Lepisosteus oculatus: one gene and its partners. The protein of the gene in region 2 interacts with the protein of the main gene of each other region in a pairwise test. Links are inferred from orthologs where the notes say so. Each region holds a gene or a part of one and is shown on either strand. Other genes may lie near its edges.

Region 1 (7,684 bases), on a different chromosome or scaffold from region 2:
GTGACATTCAAAAGTACAAAAATAGAAAATGATCAGATAACTTAATGTTGTATCAACATTAAGTCATCTGACCATTTTCTTTTTTTTTTACAATTTTAATCGGTTTTAAAATACGTTGAGTTTAACTTTCCTCTAGTTACCACACAGTGACAAAAGACTAATTCCAGCACCACTGCCAGTACAACACAATCTGTTTCTATCACAAATGCTCAAACTAAAGGCATGGCTGTCATGTTACGTGTTTGCATTGAAAAGCAGCAGCAGTACAATCGCTGTACTGACCGACTTGAAATTCGGCAGGTTTCTTGTCATTCATGAATACATCCCATCATATTCATTTTCAATCAAAATCCAACCAAAATATCTTATATTTTCACTACATTTCAGATATTGTATTATATAAGATCTGTATCTTGACCTGAATGAAAATAACGGTACTGAGTCTATGGCTGCTACTGTATGGCTCTCAAATCCGATTTTATGAAAAAAGATTTGTAAATCTCTTCTTCACGTGTATAGCAAATTGTACAGCTGTACAGCTGTGTGCATAGTCCTCCCGTGACCACAGTTATGGCTGTCATGTTGCATTATTTACTAGGAACATTTTCGTCAGGGACCCTTTTAGCAGATTAACAGGAAATTGAATTGTATATGCTTACATTGTACTGCCCCTAACAATGTAATTAAACATCAGGTTCTACATGAATACCTACACTAACCACCATGAGACATTCAATTTGTGGATTTTCTGCTAAAAAAGTGATTCCTATTCTCAGTGCTAAAAACACTTCCCTGTAACTTTCATTTCTGTCCTCTGTTGTGAGGTCCACTGTTGATTCTGAACAAATCCTTGAGACACTTAGTTGTTTTTGTTTCTCCAAGCATTGCTGCCACGTTCATCTCCCATCAGCTCCATTGGTTTATTTATGTTGTCTCTTAGCTTAATCATGACAATACATCAAGTGTATAAATCATAACATTATCAATTCTTTGGAGATTATGGCTTTTTAAAAACCCAGAAGGAGGAAGAATATTTGGAATGAAGCCTAGCACTTTAAGAAACAAAGGTGTCAAACTGAGGAAGCAAGGCAAGAGTATCAAGGGGAGCTTACCATGATCATATTGCACACTATAAATCAGGATGCCTCCTGAGACAAGTTGTTACCTGCTCAAGTTGTCAGAGTGTGTGGTTCCCTGATTGGCTTTGTCAGTCCCCTTCGGATTCATGGAAGAAACTCATTCTCGTGAGATGGCAAGTGAGTAACAATGTGGTGTACAGTATATGCAGAATTTGTGTTTTTGTGAAATATTAGCATTTGTACTGTACATAGTTCTATATAACTACAGTACATTATCCTTTTTTGGTACAACAATGCTGTTCTTTCTTCTTCAGGTGCTTGGTATTAAAAAGTTGAAGAAAAGATTAATTTCCCACTTCAAAGTAAAAAGAAAATAAAACTCACTTGAAGAAGGTTCCCTTGCTGTAATGGTGTGTTGTTGATTCTCTCTTCTCATTGTAGAATTTGTGAATAGTCCATCACTTGCACAAATATTGCACTGGTAAGATTAGTTCATTTTTCAGGGATGGCATAAATGTTATGTAATTCCAATTTTAAGATTTTTCTTAATTAATCCGACATTCGTTTTTTTGGTTACTGCTTAAAGAACCACTGCACGCTAGGTGTGGTCCATAAAAGGCTACAAACTGGTTATGACGATATTTTTATTTAGTTTGCCCAGAGCACCCAGTTCACTCCATTAATATTAATTTGTACTTCTAAAATAATCATGCAGTATAATTATTGTAATGCAATGCTTTATTACTTTAATAAGGTATTTTAATAAAAGACTGGAGCTGTTATCAAGCAGTTACCTGTTACCAGCATTCTTAGCATACTGTAACATGCAAATTATCTTAGATTAGACTTCAGTTATTCCATGATCAATAGTTCTAACAGAGAACAGAAGACAACAACAAAGATTATTTTACTGAGAGCTACAATTTAGACACATTTGCTAATTAGACTCAGCGGTGATATATCCTTATTAACGTAAATCAATTCAAGTGAAGAAAGGTGCAATCTGCATCTTGATTGTTTCAGTTCCTAACAGAAATTGCAGTTTACCTTGCATATTTTATTTGATTCTCATTATTTCTGATTTTCCTTCAAATGGAAAAGCTTCCTGGGTTTTGCTGACTGCAACAGTGTGTCTGTAGAAGTAAATAGTTGATATTTGTGCAGGACGGCATGCTAAATCATTCAAATGACTCTAAATAGGCCATTTTGGATACCGAATTACTGAATGCGTGCACCCTGGAATTAATTAATGGGATGAAGGGAAAACATATGCTGTAGATGCATTTCAAGCACTTAAAATCAGTCAGTAACCTTAGCCAATTAATGCAGAGACGCTTTTGAAAAGATCATTTAAAAGCATAAATTTTCTTCAGTTCTTATTCTGTGTATAGGCAACATCATGCTTATGGTTAAGGTATTCAATACTACCTTGGGGCAGTTTTTCCTCGTAGAACTAATACTGGCTATGGAACAACACAGAAATAGAAACAAATGTGCCTGATGGGTTTAACGGCCATCGAGCTCTTGTATGACCTTTCTAATGTTCTCATCCTTCTGAATGGAAACATCCCCTTTTTCTTCAGGAGAGTTTTGATTCCAGCTTTTTTTCACTGCGTTTTGCACATGTATGTCTATATCTCATAGAGTTTCAGTAATCTTGGAATACTTTTTGCTCATGGTGTGGATTTGACACCTGTGGTATAATGACACTAATATAGCCTTATTGAAGTGAACCACGTGGATTTCAAGTGCCCAGCAGAGTCTCGTTATTTTTCTCTGTCCAGTGTTGTACAGCTCTGGACTAGTTCTTCTGGAATATGTGGTCAATAATTTAGGAAAGTTCCATCATACTGTATAAATCAGAAGCTAAAGTAGTGACAAATAAATATGTTAAAGTATGTTGATGAATGGTGACTCGGTGGTGCAGATGTTGGCTTTGCTGCATTGTAGTGCTGGGGCCCTGAGTTATTGTACATGTGGTGCTATCTGTGTGGAGTTTGTATGTTCTCTTCAGCTTCATGGGGGTTTCCTCTGGGTGCTCCCCAGTGTGTCTGAAAGTGTGTGTGCAATGGACTGGCATCTCATTCAATGTTTACCTTGCCTTTCGCCTGTCAAACGCTGGCTCTGGTTCCCCGGCTACCCTGAATTGGATGAAGTGGTTGGAAAATGGATGGATTGATGGTGATGAATGTGATTTTCATCACCGTCTGATCAAATAGAAAATGCAAAATACAAACAAAACCCCATAATTATTCTATTGTTTGGCTTTGTAAATTAAATGCAGGAATTTACAGTACTGTATGTCAAGTGTATATTTTGTTTTTTTGTGCTTTGTTTTCTAAATAGCAGAACCACCAGAGCTTTGGAATATTCTATTAAGTCATTGTAGTGCACTTCTTCAGAAAGAACACTGAAACATGAACTAAACAACACAAGTGGAAACAACATGGAACAACATTGATCATTTAAAAATAATTCCAGTTATGATGTCTGTGAATTAAAAATGTGGGTGTTTACACTATGCCAATAGGTTATTTGCTGATCATTAAAATGACTCTGATTCCTTCTATTTTTTTAACAAGAAAAAGTTCTGCATGTTTTGTTGTAGCATATCCAGTTATGAGGTGATGCTCCCATCTTGTGGCAATAGGATGCACAGCAACATCTAGTTTCAGTGATGATTTCCAAAGCCTTTGTATTTGGTATCACTTTCGTATTCATTCTGGTATAGTTCTTTTGCCATAAGATAGTATATATTAGTAACGATTCTGAGCTGACTGTAGTGTGATTTTGTTTTGTAAAATGCTTAACAGAACAGAAGGAATTCATTAAGAAGTCGGTTGTGTTACAGTTTTCCGTTTAAAAAGTTTTTCAGATCTTTTTTTTTATCTGGAATGAATATAGAAAATCTTTCTTTTTGCAAGTTGGGGCTGCAGTACAGAACATTACTTATGTCAAATTCACTTTATATTGCATCTCAAATCATTATCTGCAATTTTGAGAGTGTGATTTAAAATTTGTCAAGCATTCCGCCTCTTACATTACTTGACAGATTTCAAATATTCACATATTTCATATTATTTTGATGTTTTACCATGTTGTTAGCATTTTAAATAAAGTACCTTCAAATTATTGTATAAAGATTCACATTGTTTAAATTTCTGCCAACATTTCAGTACCAATTGCCATGTAAATTATTTAAGTATTTGAAATCACTATTTTTCTTGTTTTGTTTTACAAATTGATCTTGGGCCCCATGAGGTAATCAAACAGCCATGGGTAGACCTCTTAAAGTAATCTTCTTAATTTCTTAAAGCTTCATTTGCAGGATTTTATTAATACAAATATGGGTCATTTAGAGTGATTGAATGACTTCTCATTCTGTCTTAAATGTACCAAGCCTTAATTTCCACAAGGGCTCCTCTGATTGGTGGGAGAGGGAGTACGTGGAACAGTAGGCAGTTGCTTACACAAAGAGAGAGGATTAACAAAGAAAAGAAAGAAAAGAAAATCTAGTTTTGTAGAGGATGCTGATTCAAATATCCTTCCAAAAGCCTTCTAAATGAAGCAGTGGCACTGCAAGCTACCAAAACTCTGATAATTATAATTTGCAAGACTGGCAACTTTAATGTTTTTTTGTATCTCTGCAGTTTACGATCAGAAATGGACACTTCTGCCTTCAATGTGACCAGTTCCAGTAAAGCCTTTTAGATAACATGCAATAGGCCCACGCTTTGTCCTTTCTTATGTTGCGCTTCCCAGTTCTTTCAAGGGCTCACCCTAGTCACGTGGGTGGTACCCTGGAGCGGTGCAGGATGGTCGCGGAAAGAAAATGGCGGATTTTGAGGAGCTGAGGGTAGGAGAAAGTATTAAATTAATTTCGTGTTACATAGAAAGAGCACTGAGCATCGTCGTAAAGCATTGGAATGATTGGGTATATCTGTTATGGAATCGTTACATTAGAACTGATATTTTAATTGGAGTTTACTAAGTGGAGACGTTAATGTCTGCCTCTTGTGTTTTGGTCGGAGGTTACGGTTTATTTGGTGTCTCGTAAAATAATTATATTATTAGGCCTGTTGAGTGTAACTTTTGAATTCTAATAGATGTGTCTTTAAGTACACATTTTCTGCTATTTGATTCATCATTGTTGTCGTAGATGTGTTTTTAGGTTTTATGAACGGTATTTTTTCCGCCAAAACATCTGGTCTAGACTGTTGTGTTGTACATATTTACAGCTTGTGCCAATTCTCGAAACCATGTAAGTAGCCTCTTCATCCGTATAGCAGATGCATTTCTACCGATTTCGAGATCAACCGTTTTGTCACCAGAACCGTGCAATCTGTTGTGAACTCCGTGCTTCTGATTATGGTGCCCTTTATCTCTTTATTATTCCAACTTTTAACTGTTGCTTAATCTCTGTTGCAGTGTGTTTGCGACAAGGACTGCTTACAGTACGTGTGTTGTCTGCCTTGTTTTTTTTCTTTTCCCGTTTTTAATGGGTTTTGGAATTATTCTTAACATTTTAGATGCTATACGATCACATTTGTTAAGGAAATGTAAAGAAAAAGGATTAACAAGTAAGAACAATCAAGCATGGACCATATAATGAAGGGTCAGTCGGGGTTTTCTTACTTTTTTTCTGTGGGTTTTTCAGATGGGATTTCTTGGGAGGGACGTGGTCATCAAACCACAGTTAAGGGGGAGAATTGTCAAATTGATGATGGATATTATAGATGTGTATGGGTGGAGTATAAACTACATGCCGCTCAGCGAGCAATGCAGAGCCGGTGGAACTCTACTGCTCCAGAGGTGACAGTCGTTTTCCCCCCGCCGTGCTAATAGACAAAGTACCGTTCACTCTCCTGAATGCACTCAAAATCCTGTACAGAAACCACACCTGGCTGCTTTCTAACGTCTACAGTGTGCCTTTGATGTACTTCATTTTATAAAGAATTCAAATCCGTTATTGGAGGAAATGTAAGCCTCATTCTTACATTCATACATAAGATGGCACTGAAGCATCCCTGGACTGACACAGTAAAAATAATTTAGTTGTTTGAGTATTTAATAGGAATAATTGGAGCTTCATAAGGTGCTGTCGCCGTAGAAAGTGTTTTGTACTTGTTTGTCACTTTACCCGCACATTGCTATAGTGGTGAACACTTCTAGTTCTTGAGCTCTTCAGGAGGTGGTTTAATCTCAATTAGTTCTTTGTGATGTTTTTCTTGCCTTTCTGCTTGTGATGTAAAATGATGATAAAGGAGCCCTGTAGCACAAGAGCTATGATTATTCAACACTTGTAGAGATGGTAGATTATCCTTTTATTATGGTGTCAATAGTATAATTTGCCCAGTGTTCTGCCTTGCTGAAGTTGTGCTGAACCAAATAAACACCCGTCAAATGTTTATATTTTTTGTATTTTTTCAGAATATGGTTTCAAGTTTTCGGGTCTCAGAGCTACAGGTTTTATTGGGCTTTGCAGGACGTAACAAGAGCGGTCGCAAGCATGAACTCCTTCTGAGAGCCTTGCACTTGCTAAAGAGTGGGTGCAGTCCAGCTGTTCAGATCAAAATTAAGGAACTGTATAGACGACGTTACCCCAGAACAATCGAAAGTCTCCCCGACTTGTCTGCCCTCAAGCCCTCCGGCTTCTCCCTGAATAGTAACTCTTCCCTCGTGGACCCGGACTTGGCCGGAGCCGGTGTGCATTCTCGCGCGCCTGGCTCGATCCCGCCGCACTCCGCAGCGCAGAGTCCTGTCCTGCTGCACGAGACGAAGCCCGGGATCGACATGCAGCAGCCGGCACCTCCCATCCCGCCTGTCCATCCTGACGTCCAGCTGAAAAGTTTGCCATTTTACGATGTGCTGGATGTCCTGATCAAACCCTCAAGCTTGGGTAAGCATCTGTCTCTTCTTTGCTCTGCACTGTGCATGCAAAATACTTTATTAGAAATTGCCCACTGTAATTGTAAATATAATAGAGTGCTGCTTTTAAGCAAGTAATCAATCAGTGATATTTCTTATATTTAGCTGTTTTTCTTTGCAACGCTAATTCAGATAATGACGTTCTAGAGTAAATTGTGAACAATTAGGCACTTTTGCTGGTTGTGGACTATAGGACATAAAGGAGCGTTATAATTTTATTATCTCCCTTATCTTATTTTTGAACAATCATCATACTGAATTTTGAGGGGTCTAATCAAATTTGCAAAATGAGTGAAAGCATTTCACCACGCAGTGTCTGCACTAGCAAATCTTTCCATAAGAACAATTTCTGCAAATGCAACCAGTGGCAATTTTAAGAATGTGACAGTCTCAACCCAACCTCGTGACACACGTTTTATGGCTGCACTTAGAAAAGATATTGCCTGATTATAGCTTTGGAATCATCATTGGGAAGGAGCAGTTGGCTTAATCTGTGGTGTAGGTTTGCACAACGTATGTATTTGTGCATTTTGCTATAAGAATAGAAAGAAGGCCAGCATGGAGAATGACCAGTCCCAAGAGACATCAGTAGTCTTCTTTTCACAGCTTACATTTTGGTCTGTCTTGTCAGAGATCCATAGCAGACGTGAGGCTAACAAGGCTAAAATGTCTCGGTA
Region 2 (7,792 bases):
AAGACAGAGCCTGCTCTACTGAGACGGGGGAGAACCGTGAAGACAAGGGGAGAACCAGGGAGAGACGCCCTGTTCGTCTTCTGGGGATACATCACATTCACATCGGATACTTTCATTGTTTTTTTTTTTTCAAGAAGCGTTGTGGTGCTTTTTGGGGGTGCCCAGACTGACATGTGGGGTGGTTTCGGTGGGGGCAGTTGGCTCATCCCATGTGTCCTTTGAGGTGAGGTTGAGAGATGTGAAGGGGAGTTTGGGGGACAGGCGCCACTCTCCCTCTAAATGCTCACTTCTTTCCTCACTCTCTCCTGTCTTCCTATACTCCCCCTGTGTCTCCTGCAGAAAGACTGGGGCTGTCTCTCCAATTTGACCTGACTCTCCTCCCTGAGCACCTTCTCCCAGGGATTTTGGAAAGGAGCAGGGGTGTAATCCCAGTGTCCTGGCCAAATTTCCCATTGGCCTTTGCCAACCATGGCCTCCTAATAACCCCCATCTCTGAACTGGCTTCATCACTCTGTTCTCCCCCCCCCTCTGAGAGCTGGTGTGTGGGGAGCCCACTGGCAGATTCTCCATTTGGGGGCTGCACATTGGTGGCGGTAGTAGGATTCCTCATTACCTGTAAAGCGCTTTGAGTGGAGTGTCCAGAAAGGCACTATATAAGTGTAAAGATGTGGGGCCCCCCCAGCAGCTTGTGAAGCAGACAGTAGCCGTCATGTGTCTGACGTGGTGTGGAACCCCATCACTGTGGGGCTCAGTCCAGTGGGGTGCCAGGGTCATGCACTAGTGGTGAACTGCAGGGAACAGATGCCAGTGGGGTTTTGACACAGTCCTGGGTGTTGCACCTTCATGACTGTGGGGGCACCTCTGAGGGGAGGCGTGCAGGGTCCACCTGGGACACAGTGCCCCTGATCTTATCCACAGCGGAAACAGTGGGAGACTCCCAACAACATGATGTGAAGATCCGAGAATATAATTTTTTATGTTCTTCTCATTAGAAGACTTCTGATGAGGAGTGTTGTACTTTCATGTCTGGTTGTATGTTTTAAAGAAAAAAAAAAGTTAATTTGATGCCATTGCAACAGGATTTTTGTTTCTCTCTTGGCAGTGATGATGGCATTTCTGTTTGATGTTTTAAAGGATGGTACTGAGCTCTGGGGGGGCTGCTCTGTGATTATGGGGGTGTCTGGAGGGGCTTAGCCTTAGGGAGAATTGAGGGAGGGGGTTTGTCTTTCTCTCAGTGCACATTGGGGCTCCCCTGCCTCTTTACACACCCCAGACCATCTCGGTGTATCATTGAAACTCCAGTCAAGCCACACTACTGGAGCCCTGCCCTTTTAAAATGAGCGTCTCTGAGGTGAGGGGGTGTATGCAGCACCAGTAAGCAGGGAATGGAGCTGACCTGCACTTGTCAGGATTCGTTTGGCACTCAAGGCCTCCCCAGGGCACAGACGTTCAGGATAGTCAGTGGTGTTTCCTGCTGTATGTTAGCCCTTGCATTGCTTGTTCAGTGTGTGGAAGACGGGCTGTGTCCGGCTCTGGGCTCTGCCTCAGGCGGGCCTGTAGTGGACAGGGCTCAGCAGTAGCTCAGATGGTCTGCTCCATCGTCACGTCATGCCTGTTGTATTTGGGCCAGACTGTGGAGTTCCCCGTCTGCCTTCTTTGAAGCAATATAACCGTCAATGGCCAAAGTAATGTGTCTGTGAAACTGATCTTTTTTTCATCCAGAGTTTGCAGACTCGTTCTCGTTTAGTTTTCATCGCGTGTCCGAGTGTAGAAATGGGGAGATCAATCAGGGAGATGAGACACTACAAACACTGTATCACGAGCTGCAGTTGCTCCTGACCTTGCCTGCCAGTGGCCCCTGTGTTGTGCTGTTGTATCCGAGTATTGACCTGTGTGGTATTGTGTGCTGATGGCTGCAGCACAGGAGAAGGCAGATGCTGACGTGCTGTAGCCCTTTCGGTTGACTTTTAACCCCTCTCTGTGTCCGGGTGGAATTCCTGGCTTATCCTGTGGTGAGAGGTTCGGCAGGGGTACAAGTAAACGTGGACACTGGTGAGCGCAGGTGGGGACAGACAGACTGGACCTCTCCCTCTGGCCCTGCAGGGTGCAGATACTCCCACAGTCAGCCCTGCTGGTAGAAGCCCTAAAGAGAATTGCTCATACTGTGACTCTTTCGAGCCCGCATGACTTCCTTATCCACCATTAGTGTGACTCCTGCAATCATCGTTTCGATTGTTTTTCTCCGATTCCCTTTTTCATACCAGCCGGACCTACAGGTAGTTTAAAAATCACCGATGGGGGGGGGGCAGGTTGTTGAAAAGATTGAGGAAGAGGGGGGCAGCAGAGTGACCAAGGACACAGCTTGGAAGAGCGAAGGCAGGCAGGTTGCACTGTACGTCTTCCCGAAAGAGGGAGGGGTGAGGGATGTGCAGCCTCAGCACTGCTGAGCAAAGGACTGAGTGGCTTCTCTTTCTTCCTGAGGGACGGCTTTTCACACGCAGGTGTCTTGGACATGAGAACATGAGACAACTCTTTGTGTAAATGCTGTCCTGATTAGCAGATCTCATCTAGTTGTTTCCTGGAAGAAGCCAGGTTATCAGGTTCAGCAACATGGCTGGACGGCTTGTTCCAAACTCCTACAGCCCCCAGATGTGTGATGTGTGCCTGTTTGTTTGTTTTTTCCTCTCTCTTTAAATGCAGACAATCCTGAGCTGTGATGGGTTTGTAGAGTTAGAATCAGGTCACTGTCCTGGCTGGGTCAGCACCTGTGTCCACTTCTGTTTACAAAAAGAAGATGACACCGGGAAACTCTGAAGTCTATTGTGAAGTGTCCCAATCTTCTTGTGCTGCTGCTGCGTAGGCCGAAGATGTAATTGTGTCGGCAGCAGGGGATCATGTGCTTCTCCTGTCCGGCGGGATATTTCCACATCTCGTCACTGAGGCCGGAGACGCAGCACAGCCAGAGCTGCAGGCCCAGATCGTTGCGGTCCTCGCTGTCCTCTCCGCACCAGATCTGTTCCACGGTGTTGAGTGTGTGTGGCCCTGGCCCTAGCACTTCTGCCCCTCCCAGTGGTGTCTCCTGTAGGAGCTGAATATGGGGAACTTTTCACAGTATTTCTGCCTGGGCCTGGTCCTTCATGCTGGCCACCTGTATTTGCTTTTTAGTGGTCTGATTTGCTCTGTACTACATTTTACTGTGTTTTTACTACAGTAAAACCACAAGATGCTGTGATGAGTGTGACTCTGTTCAGCCAGTAATGGATTCAGATGGGCGATACTGCAGTTTCTCGTCCTGGCCACTTGGTGTCGCTGTTGAGGGTGCTGTAACAGCCTTGCATATGTCTGTGATGGCATGACTCTAGGATTTTGTTTTTCCAAGGCCAGTTATTCCCACAGTAATCGGGGGGTGAATAACTTTCCCCTGTACCCCAAAGGGTTGGGGACCACTGGGCCAGACAACACTGCTCAGTATGTACTAGGGGGACCTGTCAGGGCATGCTGAACATGCTTCAGTTCACTGAGCAGTCTGAATACCCCAAAAGCTCTTGGCTGAGCGGTGAACAATTCTTAGCTATTCCCCAAAACTGTTGTTGCACCTGTAGCCGTTCTGCAAGGTGTTTTGTGTTGTCTTGACCCTGTTTGCATTTTGAGCAAATACTTGCAAGGTGACCTTGTCTTCTCAAAAGCAATACACGCTTCCCCTGCATCCTGAAAGTCGTCATGTGTGTTTTAAGGGGTGCAACATCAACCAAGAAAAGCCAAAGGTGTGAAAAAAGACATTTCTTCCTTCTTTTTTTTTACAGTTGAAGCAGTTTTGGAAAACTGAAGCTGGGAGTTTGATTTGGAGCTTAGGAGTAGTTCAGCAAAGATGTACTGTAAGCAAGCTAAAAAGCTCTGAAATCTGTTTTTCGGTGCACACGCAGTATAGATCGTCAGTATAAGCTCCACAGCTGTACTGGTCTACTGTACTCCTGGTACGTTTGGAGGGGGGTTCCCTCCCTGTCCGATTGAGTCAGGCTGTGGTTCTGAAAGATGTCCATCGCTGCCGTGGTACTTCCTGCTGTTTAGCTGCATCTGAGTGAATAGTTTCCTTAAGGCGCTAAGGACAATTCAGAATTTCCTGTTCAATCCAGTAAGACGCACTGTTCCAGCTGTCACTCATGGTCATACATCCCTTCTGACATCACCATTACCTTAGAGCACGGGCCATGTGTTTCAGGAGGTCGAAGGTCACCTGAATATCATTCAATGTAGCACGTATGACTATGAACAGAAGGATACTGCAGTAAGGAATCCTACTGTACATGGGGCAGTCAGAATGTCCACTTAACCACCTTCGCTGTAGGATTTTGTACAAAGCAATAGAGCTGTAATGCTCTGTGAATGATGTAGGTGTGCAAACCAAACACATCATGCACCCCACATTTCAGCTTCCATTACCACCCCACACAAGCTGGTTACAAGCAATGAATTTGTAAGTTATTGTAATTTTTTTATTCAATTTGACAATGATGCATTTGTTGCTTATCTGTTTGTTTGTTTGTTTTTTCTTTGGACATTTTTTAATTAAATGTTTTAGAAATGTTCATAGTATGCAATCTGTAAAAAATAATCTACATGTCTAATGTACATTGTAAGAGCTATTAAAAACTTTGAAGGAGTGAAGCTGGATCTGTGCAACTTTTGTTTTTGGCTGGTCAGTATGTCTGCAGCAGGGCTGTCCAGTCCTGGTCCTGGAGGGATGGTCAGTGTGTCTGCACCAAGGGCTGTCCAGTCCTGGTCCTGGAGGGATGGTCAGTGTGTCTGCACCAAGGGTTGTCCAGTCCTGGCCCTGGAGGGCTGGACACTGTGTTTACAGGTTTACAAGGTCTTTTCAGACAGCAGTACTAAAGCAACACCATTAGTGGACACTAGTGTAGATGTCCTGTCCAGGAGGTATTTTTTCTTTTACCTATAAATAAGCTTGCTAAACTCTCCAACTTTATTTCTGAGGTCTCAGAATGTTGCAGGGTGCAGTGGATGTGAGAACAGTGAGGGCTGATTGAGAGACATTTTCAGAACGTTTGGACACATCTGGACTCTGGATTCTATACTTCTGCCTCCTACTGGTACACCAACCACGCCACATGTGTTCTGGAGAAAATGGTCAAGGAGCGGGTGTGCAGAAGGTGTCTCTATACATGACTTGAGTGTGGGTGTTGCAGTGTGGGGATCTTGGCGTGTTTCAGTGCTGTGAGCACTGGTTGATCTCTCGGCTGCTCAGGCATATGTACCAAGGAGGGCAAACTGTAGTGTTGTCTTCATCTTCCAGGGGTCTACTGAATTCTTTAAAAAGAAATAGCATGAAAACAAAGTCTTATAAAAGCTTGTTTTATTTTTTGTTTGGTTATGGGTCAAGGAGCATATGAAAACCGCGAGAATGAAGATCCCAGGTTTTAAATATTTAATATTTCTATGAAATCGGGTTGTTAGTCTGAAGGATAAATTTCATTCTAGTGATTTTTCCTCAGCCTTTTTGATTATATTGGTAAGGTACTCAGTCTTTACCTAAACGGAAGCTTTGTCGAATATTGGCGAAGAGAAGAGCGGAAAGCAACAGAACATTTTTATTTAATGTTTAAATTAAAATTACGTACGCACGTCTCCTTTTCGATCGATGCTTTCTCTATCGAGTGGTTTTCCTACAACGCCGCAAAGCGGATGCAAGCGATCGACTTCTAATGCCTGTGTTTTCAAGATGGCTGCGCCCGTTCTGTCCGCACATGAAGTTTTTGCCGAGGGGGTTCGTGCTGTTTTGGAGACGTGGCCGGTGCTGCAAGTGAGAACAGTTTTTCTTTCAGTCTTAAAACCAGTTTTTCTCGTTTCTATAGGTGTATTTTGAGTCTTAATTAACGGGGGTGTCAGGACAAATGCACTCACACATGATCGTGTTTGAGTTAACACGGTCTGGCCGGTCGATACCACAAATAGGGTCGATTTGCTATGAAATTCTGTAACACAGCAGTGAATTGTAGTATAAATCTTTATTATATTTAAATTTCATTGAATTTGGCTGTTGATTTACTGTAACTTTCTATTATAAAAATGTTTTAACCGTCTTTTTACTGTAGTCTACTGTAACACAACCTGTTTAAAAAGCAGTCCTGAGTTTAAAAGTATTGTAAAGACCGCGGGCTTCGGTACGGAATGGAGCAGGCGTATGACTCAGGGAATGGGGTTGAACAACACATTTAATAACCAGAGCCGGGGAACGGTAAACACACAGGGACAGGGGTTACAGCGCTGCACCTACGTGAAGGGAAGAGCGGTCTCCCAGCCCCCGTCCCACTATAAACAGTCCCGTAGTCCCGCCCCCAGGCGATGGGGCTACAGTATTTATTTTAATATACTGCTGCAGCCCCCTTTCTGTCACGACTGTTTACTTCTGCTTTGTCTAAGATTGCGGTTGACAATGGATTTGGGGGTGCACACAGCCGACAGAAAGCTGATTGGATGGTGGACGCTGTGCAGCAGTATTTCCATGACAACAGTGAGTGGTTTTTATTTTGTGTGACCAGCGCTTCTCCTCTGACTGTGTGCTCTCTGTCCAGCGCTTCTCCTCTGACTGTGTGCTCTGTGTCCAGCGCCTCTCCTCTGACTGTGTGCTCTGTGCGTGTCCAGCGCTTCTCCTCTGACTGTGTGCTCTGTGCGTGTCCAGCGCCTCTCCTCTGACTGTGTGCTCTGTGTCCAGCGCCTCTCCTCTGACTGTGTGCTCTGTGCATGTCCAGCGCCTCTCCTCTGACTGTGTGCTCTGTGCGTGTCCAGCGCCTCTCCTCTGACTGTGTGCTCTGTGTCCAGCGCCTCTCCTCTGACTGTGTCCTCTGTGCGTGTCCAGTGCCTCTCCTCTGACTGTGTGCTCTGTGCGTGTCCAGCACCTCTCTTCTGACTGTGTGCTCTGTGCGTGTCTAGCGCTTCTCCTCTGACTGTGTGCTCTGTGTCCAACGCCTCTCCTCTGACTGTGTGCTCTGTGCGTGTCCAGCGCCTCTCCTCTGACTGTGTGCTCTGTGCGTGTCCAGCGCCTCTCCTCTGACCGTGTGCTCTGTGCGTGTCCAGCGCTTCTCCTCTGACCGTGTGCTCTGTGTCCAGCGCTTCTCCTCTGACTGTGTGCTCTGTGTCCAGTGCCTCTCCTCTGACTGTGTGCTCTGTGCGTGTCCAGCGCCTCTCCTCTGACTGTGTGCTCTGTGCGTGTCCAGCACCTCTCCTCTGACTGTGTGCTCTGTGCGTGTCCAGCGCTTCTCCTCTGACTGTGTGCTCTGTGTCCAGCGCCTCTCCTCTGACTGTGTGCTCTGCGTCCAGCGCCTCTCCTCTGACTGTGTGCTGTGTTCTCTGTGTTGTGCAGCTGACCTGGAGCAGGATGAGGTTGAGGACTTCCTGGCAGAGCTGATGAACAATGAGTTTGACACTGTGGTGGAGGATGGCAGTCTGCCACAGGTATACGCACTCCTGTACATAAGACCAGCTGCTGCACAGAGTATGCAGGGCTGAACAGCAACCCACAGTTCCTTGCTCTGCCATTTCACCCATTGCTTTTACCCATTAATAGGTTTGCTAATTATAAATTCTATTACTTTCCATTCTGGGGTCTGTGTCCTCTTGGAGTGGATGTGAAAACGGTAAGGGATGATTGAGAGAGACCTGTAGAAATCAGGCTGTCCAGATCTTAAGTCACCTTAAGGGTCTCATTGTTTTCTTCTGTATGTCCAATAGGTGGCGCTAGAACTGCGTGAGCTGTTTGGGAAGTGTCAGCAGGGGC
Region 3 (8,078 bases), on a different chromosome or scaffold from region 2:
GTTGTAGCTGAAATATACATGCCCAAAGAGCACCAAGATGGCAATGATGGTTATTTCTTACAATCAAGAAATTTGTATGTGTTGAGATGATATGAGAGAAGTACAATATATGTTTTTTTCTGTTTTGGTCATTCTAGGTGTACATGTGATCTTATTAGAAAACAAAACATGTTATGTTCAACAAAGCATCTTCAGAGAGTTTCACTAAGAATTATACCACTGACAGCTTAAGATACCATATGGGGACACGTGCACGTCATATACTGCACTGCATCTTTCAGAGTGTATATTGGAAGTTAGTACTGAGCTGCATATACCTTTGAGGCTATAAATGCACAAAGTCTGTCACTCTTGGGGCTTTTGTATGATCATTTGAGATAATAAACCATGGCTCACTTTGGCCATTAGTAGAATGAGATGACAATGGGCAAACTGAACGGGAGGCATATATAGTTTATTTCAGTGCACAATCCCAGTATCTGCACTTTGTTTGACTTCTGATTTTGAATTCACCAAAACTATCTGATTGTCACCTAGAAGCAACTAGAAGAGAATATTTTCTGTGCCACATGTTTACAGAGTGTTTCCCTGGATGTTGAAAACACTGTCAGCTTCATTAGAAGCAGTGCAATATGATGGAACTCAATAACAGTATGAAGCCACAGTGATTGTAAGAAGTGCTTTACTGTTCTTGCCACTAATAAAGGTAACAATCAGGGGGCAGGACATACTTTCTTTAGGTGAAAGTTTTTTAATGAGGACCTAAAAAATTTTGAAAAGAGGGCACCAATGACTGTTGTATAGCTGGAGAAATTCTAAGCATGGCTCGGCGCAGCTAGGTTTTAGTTTCATTTGGCTCTGTAACCTGAAACTTGGCACGTGCTGCAAGTGTTTGAAGAAATAAACAGACAGAAATAAACAGCTTAGGAAGCTGGTTTCCCTCTAGAGGATTTATACTGGAGGATGCAGAATCAGCCTGGGCTGAGGAGACTTGGCTCCTGCCCCACTGCCACCGTATCCACTGCACAATCCCAGTACACCCAGTACAGCCCAGCCAGTCACCTTGTTCTTGATCTCGTCACGCGTGCTCTGATAGTCCTGCCGCGCATCGCTGTCCAGCTCGGCAAAGTTCTGCTCCATGGAGAACATCACATCCTCCAGGTAGGAGCACTCCTGCTGCTGCTGGGCCATGATCAGCTCCCTGCTCATACACACACCACACGCGGTCAGGGCTGACTGAGGGAGGAGACAGGGAGGGCTGAGAGAGAGGGAGACAGGTGGAGGAGACAGCGAGGGAGGAGAGAGGAGGCAGACGGATGAAACAGAGAGGGTAGTGAGGATAAAGAGACAGAGGGAGGAGACAGGGAGGGGACAGACGGAGGAGACAGCGAGGGAGCAGAGAGGAGGCCGACAGAGGAGACAGCAAGGGTAGAGAGATAAAGAGAGAGGGAGGAGACAGGGAGGAGAGATAAGGAGACAGAGAGAGAAGAAGGAGGGAATTGAGAGAAGGAGACAGACACAAGGAGATAGGAAGAGGACAGAGGGAGAAAAGGAGAGGTAAAGGAAGACAGAGAAGGAGGGACAAGAGGAGAGGTGAAGGAGAGGGAAAGGAGAAGCAGACAGAGAGGAGAGAGCTACCTCTCGGTGTTGAACTCCGCGCTCAGAGCCTCCAGCTCGCTGTCCCAGTGCTGCTCGAGTGCCTGCAGCCGCCCCCGCTGCAGCAGCAGCAGCCGGTCCACACACCGCAGCTGGGAGCGCAGGGCCTTGGCGGACTGCTCCTCTGCCTCGTTCAGGTCGCTCACCAGGGACTGCCGGGCACAGCGGCTTTCGTTAGCAGGCTCTGAGCTGACACTGCTGTCCACACAGATCCCCTCAGAGCTGTCACACTGGCCTCAGCTCGGATACTGCTGCAGATACCACCGACAGCAGGACCTTGCTCAAAGGTCTCATCCGAAAGATGGAGCACGAGAGGGTTCACACAGAGAGTCAGTAGCAGAGCAGACAGTCCCTCTCCATGACTCCCTGAGCTCCCAGTCGAAAGTACGACCTGACCCAATGCTAGTGGCTCTGAGCCCCGGGACAGCCCACCTTGATGACGCTGTCCTTGCGGTCCAGCACCCTCTCGAAGGTCTGGCTGAGCACAGCAATGTCCCGGCGCAGCTCCTCTGCCCGAGCCCGGCGCAGCACTGCCCGCCACTGGACCGTCAGCTTGGCCAGGTTCACTGCAGTGCTGCGCTCCTCCTTCTGCAGCTTGTCCTGGGGGCAGAGGGGACAGAGAAGGACAGGGATCAGCTGGGAGAGGGGGACAGAGAGACCGAGGAGAACACGCACAGGGATCAGCTGGGAGAGGGGGACAGAGAGACAGAGGAGAACAAGGACAGGGATCAGCTGGGATAGGGAGACAGAGAGACTGAGGAGAACAAGGACAGGGATCAGCTGGGATAGGGGGACAGAGAGATTAAGAGAGACAAGGGGACTGTGCTCAGTGTTGTGCTCTGTGCTGTGCTCAGGGGGACTGTGCTCTGTGCTGTGCTCAGTGCTATAGTTACCTTGGGCTATGCTCAGTGTTGTGCTCTGTGCTGTGCTCAGGGGGACTGTACTCTGTGCTGTAGTTAGTTCAGGCTGTGCTCTGTGCTGAGCTAAGGAGTGACTGTACTCTGTGCTGTGCTCAGGGGGACTGTACTCTGTGCTGTAGTTCGTTCAGGCTGTGCTCTGTGTTGGGCTAAGGGGTGACTGTGCTCTATGCTGTAGTTAGCTCGGGGCTGTGCTCTGTGCGGGGTTCAGGGGGACTGTACTCTGTGCTGTAGTTAGCTCAGGCCTGTGCTCTGTGCTGGGTTCAGGGGGACTGTACTCTGTGCTGTAGTTAGCTCGGGGCAGTGCTCTGTGCTGTAGTTAGCTCGGGGCTGTGCTCTGTGCTGGGTTCAGGGGGACTGTACTCTGTGCTGTAGTTAGCTCGGGGCTGTGCTCTGTGCTGGGCTGAGGGGGGACAGTACTCTGTGCTGTAGTTAGCTCAGGGCTGTGCTCTGTGCTGTAGTTAGCTCGGGGCTGTGCTCTGTGCTGGGTTCAGGGGGACTGTACTCTGTGCTGTAGTTAGCTCGGGGCTGTGCTCTGTGCTGGGCTTAGGGGGGTACAGTGCTAACACCCCCACCTTGAGGAACTGGGTCAGCATGTCCTCCTTCCTCTTGCTGAGCTCCTCCTCCGCCAGGGCCTTCTGCTGCAGGAACAGCAGACGCTCCTCCTCGCTCATGGCTGCCAGCTTCCCGGCCTTCTTCCCGCCCTTCTTCGGCATCTCGCTGCTCACCGGGCACCTCTGCCCTCTGCCCGGCCGGTCAGGGCCTCACCTCGCTCCCCGTCCGAGATCCAGAAATGACTGCGCTGCTTTACAAGCTCCAGCGCTTGGAGCAGCTGTCGCCGCTGCATGTTTAAGTACACGCATGTATGTTTGAAGAAGCCATTGAACAATGATATAAAAAAAGATATTTATTACATTCGGTTCGTTTCTGTAACTAGGACGCATGGTACAGAATTGCATATCTATTTGCCAAACATTTCCACAGATGAAACCCTACCGTCGGTGCACGGTCGATAACCAGCGCAATACGCCCGCAGTAAAAGATGTCTGTGACAGGTGTATTTAGTAGTGTTCTGAACGGTGTGTGTACTGTAGCCGTAATATGTGCAGGCGACTGTTTTTACCTGAATGTCCGGAGAGCCGAGCCCAGGGAACTGACCGGTCCGCTGCCTTCAGTTTACACTCGTCTCCTAGCAACGGCCTGCGCGACGTCTGGCGTTCCCAATTTGTGTGGCGCCACCTAACGCGCGAAGGTGGTACTGCAGCGACACCACAGTCCGGGTCTAGAGTAGGGAGACGCGGGAGGGAGATTGAAAAATGAGCGGTTTTCACTGCACTTTAAAAAACATTTCTGCCGTCAGTAGTTCTTTATTTTGAAATTAAGGGAAATGTTCATTTTAATCTAGGGTGCGCGGTCTTATTGTTACTTTTAAACTTTGACAGATCGTCAACTGCTTGTGGGTACATTGTCCCCGTGTTAATAATTCGATTCTGTTGTACTCAGTTAAACTTATCACATTCTATGTAGTTCTCAATGTATAAGGTTTTTTATAAATGATAGCGAGGCACGGTTTGGGTTGTTGCTGTAGCTGATTGTGTTCTCTGCGAGCCGGGACAGCTGCAGCCTGAGATCCGCTCACCTGTCTGAATGCGTGGGAATAAGGGAAAACCGCTTCTCCAAGAACCGCGACTCGGTAAACGAATTCATACAGCTCCCCGATTCAGAGCACACCTGGGTGGGAGCTACTGCACTGTATTTCATTGTCATGTGTTTCTCACTCCCATACTGTACTGTTTCAGACCCCTGTACCGCCCGCTCCTGTCGTACTGTACTGTACTGTGTCTCAGACCCCTGTACCGCCCGCTCCTGTCGTACTGTACTGTACTGTACTGTTTCAGACCCCTGTACCGCACGCTTGTGGTGCGCTGTATTCCACTGTACTGTTCTGGAGCTCTGTGTTCTGTGTAAACATGTGTTTACTGAATATTACTGTTGTTCACCTCTGTACACTGTACAGCATCATATTAGAACTATCCTTAAATAGGAACAAGTAAAGGTTTATTCCATACTGAAAAGAAAAGAAACAAAGTTACAGCTGTGGAGCCTTCGTGTGTGTTACTTGAACTATCCTTTCATATTAGTGTACCGTATATGGTCCATAATGTGATTTTTCGTTCATTGAAGATAGGAAAAAGATAAGAAAAACATTACTGGACTTTTTTTATTATTATGGGAGCTCTCAAAGAAAACGAACAATACTCAAAAAATTTAGATATCTATGGTGAGGACCTGTTCATGGTGCACTGTGGGATAGGAACACACCACTCACGTTCAAAGGTCCGCTCTTGGGATCCTTCCGAGAGAAAACAGTCCGCTCCTTCATAAACATGTATCACTGATAATTAACCATAATACTGTTCTCTCATGTGTATATATGTGGGACTTATTTTTCACACGTTTCGGAAAAAAATAAACACATTTGGAGCTCTTGGGGTCCCGAAAAACGGAGGAATAGTCCGTGCGGAGGAGGAGTATAAATTCGGCGGAGCTGCGGAAGCCGGTCCTCTTTCTAGCCTCCTGTTCAAGATGGTGAGTGAGGCACAGCGGCGCGTCTGGGCCCTCTGTAGGGTGAAAAATGGTTAAAAATCACAAAATACTCTTGTATTTCCCGTCTTTTTGCAAAAGTAGAAAGTATAAACGGCGTCCGATGCCGAGTTTGAGGGAGAAGAAGTTCTGGCACAAAATGCGTTGCGGTCAGCGCGGAAGGAAGGGTAGACGCGTGGAGGATTGCTTCTGGGCCTCGTGTAGGAGAGAGGCGGAGAAAAAATATATCTTCTCTTTGACCATCGAAGAGCGCGATACGTGTGTTGACCCGTTTTGTGAACCTGAGGGAATTTAAAAATTGCCATGTAGCGGAAAGTGATCGAGAAGTGCCTGGTTTGTCTTACGGATAGGCTAGTAATGAGAATAATGAGTTTGTCGCAGTTTAACGAGAGGGTATTCCGTCTGCGTCTCTTCGGTTTGAAGCCGGGCGTCAAGCTGCGGTGTAAAACCGGGCAGGACGATCTGGGCGGATTGTAGTCGCTTGACTACGACTTCCAGCGTTAGCCCGTCTGTGCGGTGTTGAATATGACCTCGGCTTAGTGAGTGCGATCTTTGTTCATTAAGCCGCCGCAAAGTGGAAATGCTATTCAGTGTTTCAGCTATTCACTTTGCCCGCCGCTCTGTGGGAGTGCCGGCGTAGTGGATTCGGGCGCACTGCAGAGGAGGTCGCCTGGCAGGGCCTGAGATCCTTCTCCAGCTGTCCTCGGTCGGTCTGTGAGGCCCCCTGTAGGAAGGTGTAGACTCTGTTGATGTTTAAGACGAGACTTGAAAACCCTCCGTTTTCCATGGGCTTTCATTCCTTACCCGTTTTTTTAATTTCTCCGTAATTAGCAAAGGAGCAAGTAGAGGTTTATTCCATGGTGAAAAGAACAGAAAAACGTTTTAGCTCTGGAGCCTTCTCCGGGTGTCGTGTTGTTTTTCTTCTATTTTCAGCCTAGAATAAACCCGTACCTGTTCCTTAGCAGCCTGTGCCTGCTGGCACAGCTACCTGCTTGAACTATTGTGTGATCAGTGTCAAGTTCCCTAGAGAGTGCTCTGTACTGAAAGGCACTATATAGGAATGTATAGTATTGGAGCATTCCTCTGCCCCGAGTGAGATGAGCCTCCTCTCCTTTCCCCGGCAGACCAAGAAGCGAAGGAACAACGGCCGTGCCAAGAAGGGCCGTGGGCACGTCCAGCCCATCCGCTGCACCAACTGCGCCCGCTGCGTGCCCAAGGACAAGGCCATCAAGAAGTTCGTCATCCGGAACATCGTGGAGGCGGCGGCCGTCAGGGACATCTCCGAGGCCAGCGTCTTCGACTGTGAGTGCCTGGGCTGGGGTCCGGCAGCGGGGGAGCTGGGAGTGCCGCGGTCGGCCGTTTGGGTCTGGCGTGGCGTTTGGCAGACTGCTCAGTCCTCCCAGACACTCCGGGCATTTCAGGTCCGTCGCCCGGTTTGGAATCTGTAGCATTTGATTGTGTCTGAGGACAGTTTTTCCTGGGAAGACGACAGCAGATAAAATGCTGGAATGGCATCAGGGGTCAACAGGAGGGGTCCGAGGGGCCGTGCTCGCGTGGCAGGGTTCCAGGGCTCTGTGAGTGGTATATAAGGTTTCTGCAGTCCAATCAGTGTGAGGTAAGCAGAGATGGGTGTCCTCATCCTACATGTTGAAGTTGGAGCTTGGATGTTTCAGTTTGGCTTTTTACTGCTATCTGTGTGGAGTCTGTATGTTCTCCTCAGGTTTGTGTGGGTTTTTTCCAGGTGCTCTGGTTTCCTCCCGCAGTCCAAAGACAGGCTGGAAGATTATTTGTCTTGTTCCTGGTGTGAGTGGGTGTGTCTGCCCTGTCATGCACTGGCATCCCATCCAGGGTGTGCACTGACTTTCACCTGTTGCTTGCTGGGACAGGCTCTGGCTCCCCCCAAGGCCTGAATTGCATGAAGTAGTAAATTAATGTGGCTTTTTCCTTGTAGGTCTTATGGGTTTTAGGCTTTGTGCAGTGCTCTGATTTTTCTACGAGGGTGCTTTTTAATTCAGTTGCTGTTAAGATTGCAGCGCCTCTCTACAGGGCTGAGTGCGCTTGGCAGGGGCTGAGAGCTCCAGGATAGCATGTTATACAGTGAAGGTCAGGAAAGACCGTCACATTATTGGTCTGTTTAGCTAAAAGGGTTATGTAGAATCAGGAGAGTATTCAGCCTGCCTCACTCATTTGCTTGTCAGTAGCTTATTGATCCAGACGAGCAGATCCTTGAAGGACTCCCTGTAGTCTGCCTGAAGAGTTTGACAAGAGGCCCGTTCCTCATGCTGCAGAGGAGTAGGGGGCAGTAGAGCCTTGAAACGGTCCGTGTCCTGGCCTGCGCTCGCTCCTCTGAGGCCAGAATAGGCTAACCCTTTTCCAGTGGTGTCCTCTGCAGTGCAGGAGGCACTTGGGGGCAGGTGATGGTTTTCAGAATTGACTGTAAGAGATCTGCAGTGATGTGCCTGGATCCCTAAAATAAGCTGGTCGCCTGGTTGCTCGGAAGTTAATCCAAAAAACTCCGGTGGGGGAGAGACTCCCTGAGTTCACACTCTTGATTTCCTTGGGGTTGTACTGATCTAAGGATAAAGTGAGGAAAGTAATGTTTCCTGGTCTCTGATTTTTCACATATTATTGGGGAGGTTTGGCTTTATGCAAGTCTTGGTCCGGTGTGCTCGGACTCCATTTGAAATAAAACATGCTTGAGGCAGGAGGTCTGTAGAGCAAGGCTGTGTTACTGTAGGCACAGCACACACACATAGCACTGTTGAATCTTAATGCTAATAATGGGGCAGCCTTCTGCCCGCTTAGTGCCAGCAGCGGCGCTGTGTAACCGCTCCCCTCTCCTCTCCCTCGTAGCCTACGTCCTGCCCAAGCTGTACGTCAAGCTGCATTACTGCGTGAGCT

Evidence for each region. The genes of interacting proteins can lie anywhere in the genome.
Region 1: the proteins of tsr2 (region 2) and pias2 interact in binary tests that used the Homo sapiens proteins (3 or more experiments, as listed by UniProt). The two-hybrid records come from large-scale screens. The link is inferred for Lepisosteus oculatus from reciprocal best matches to the Homo sapiens genes TSR2 and PIAS2.
Region 3: the proteins of tsr2 (region 2) and rps26 interact in binary tests that used the Homo sapiens proteins (3 or more experiments, as listed by UniProt). The two-hybrid records come from large-scale screens. The link is inferred for Lepisosteus oculatus from reciprocal best matches to the Homo sapiens genes TSR2 and RPS26.

Annotation. Positions count from the first base shown.
Region 1 is NC_090698.1:40,483,369-40,491,052, forward strand, and holds the start of pias2 (E3 SUMO-protein ligase PIAS2), read left to right. Parts: upstream 1-4,588; 5' UTR 4,589-4,911; coding exon 4,912-4,935; intron 4,936-5,608; exon of another isoform or gene 5,609-5,694; intron 5,695-6,509; coding exon 6,510-6,978; intron 6,979-7,684. UniProt on the Homo sapiens protein: Functions as an E3-type small ubiquitin-like modifier (SUMO) ligase, stabilizing the interaction between UBE2I and the substrate, and as a SUMO-tethering factor.
Region 2 is NC_090697.1:76,709,677-76,717,468, forward strand, and holds the start of tsr2 (pre-rRNA-processing protein TSR2 homolog), read left to right. Parts: upstream 1-4,767; 5' UTR 4,768-5,126; coding exon of another isoform or gene 5,127-5,168; 5' UTR 5,169-5,656; coding exon 5,657-5,818; intron 5,819-6,438; coding exon 6,439-6,529; intron 6,530-7,378; coding exon 7,379-7,470; intron 7,471-7,746; coding exon 7,747-7,792. Other genes in the region: cdk16 (cyclin-dependent kinase 16), read left to right, coding at 1-222. UniProt on the Homo sapiens protein: May be involved in 20S pre-rRNA processing.
Region 3 is NC_090696.1:21,768,599-21,776,676, reverse strand, and holds the start of rps26 (40S ribosomal protein S26), read left to right. Parts: upstream 1-4,982; 5' UTR 4,983-4,997; coding exon 4,998-5,162; intron 5,163-6,301; coding exon 6,302-6,479; intron 6,480-8,030; coding exon 8,031-8,078. Other genes in the region: ccdc65 (dynein regulatory complex subunit 2), read right to left, coding at 1,063-1,201, 1,639-1,808, 2,089-2,256, 3,149-3,289.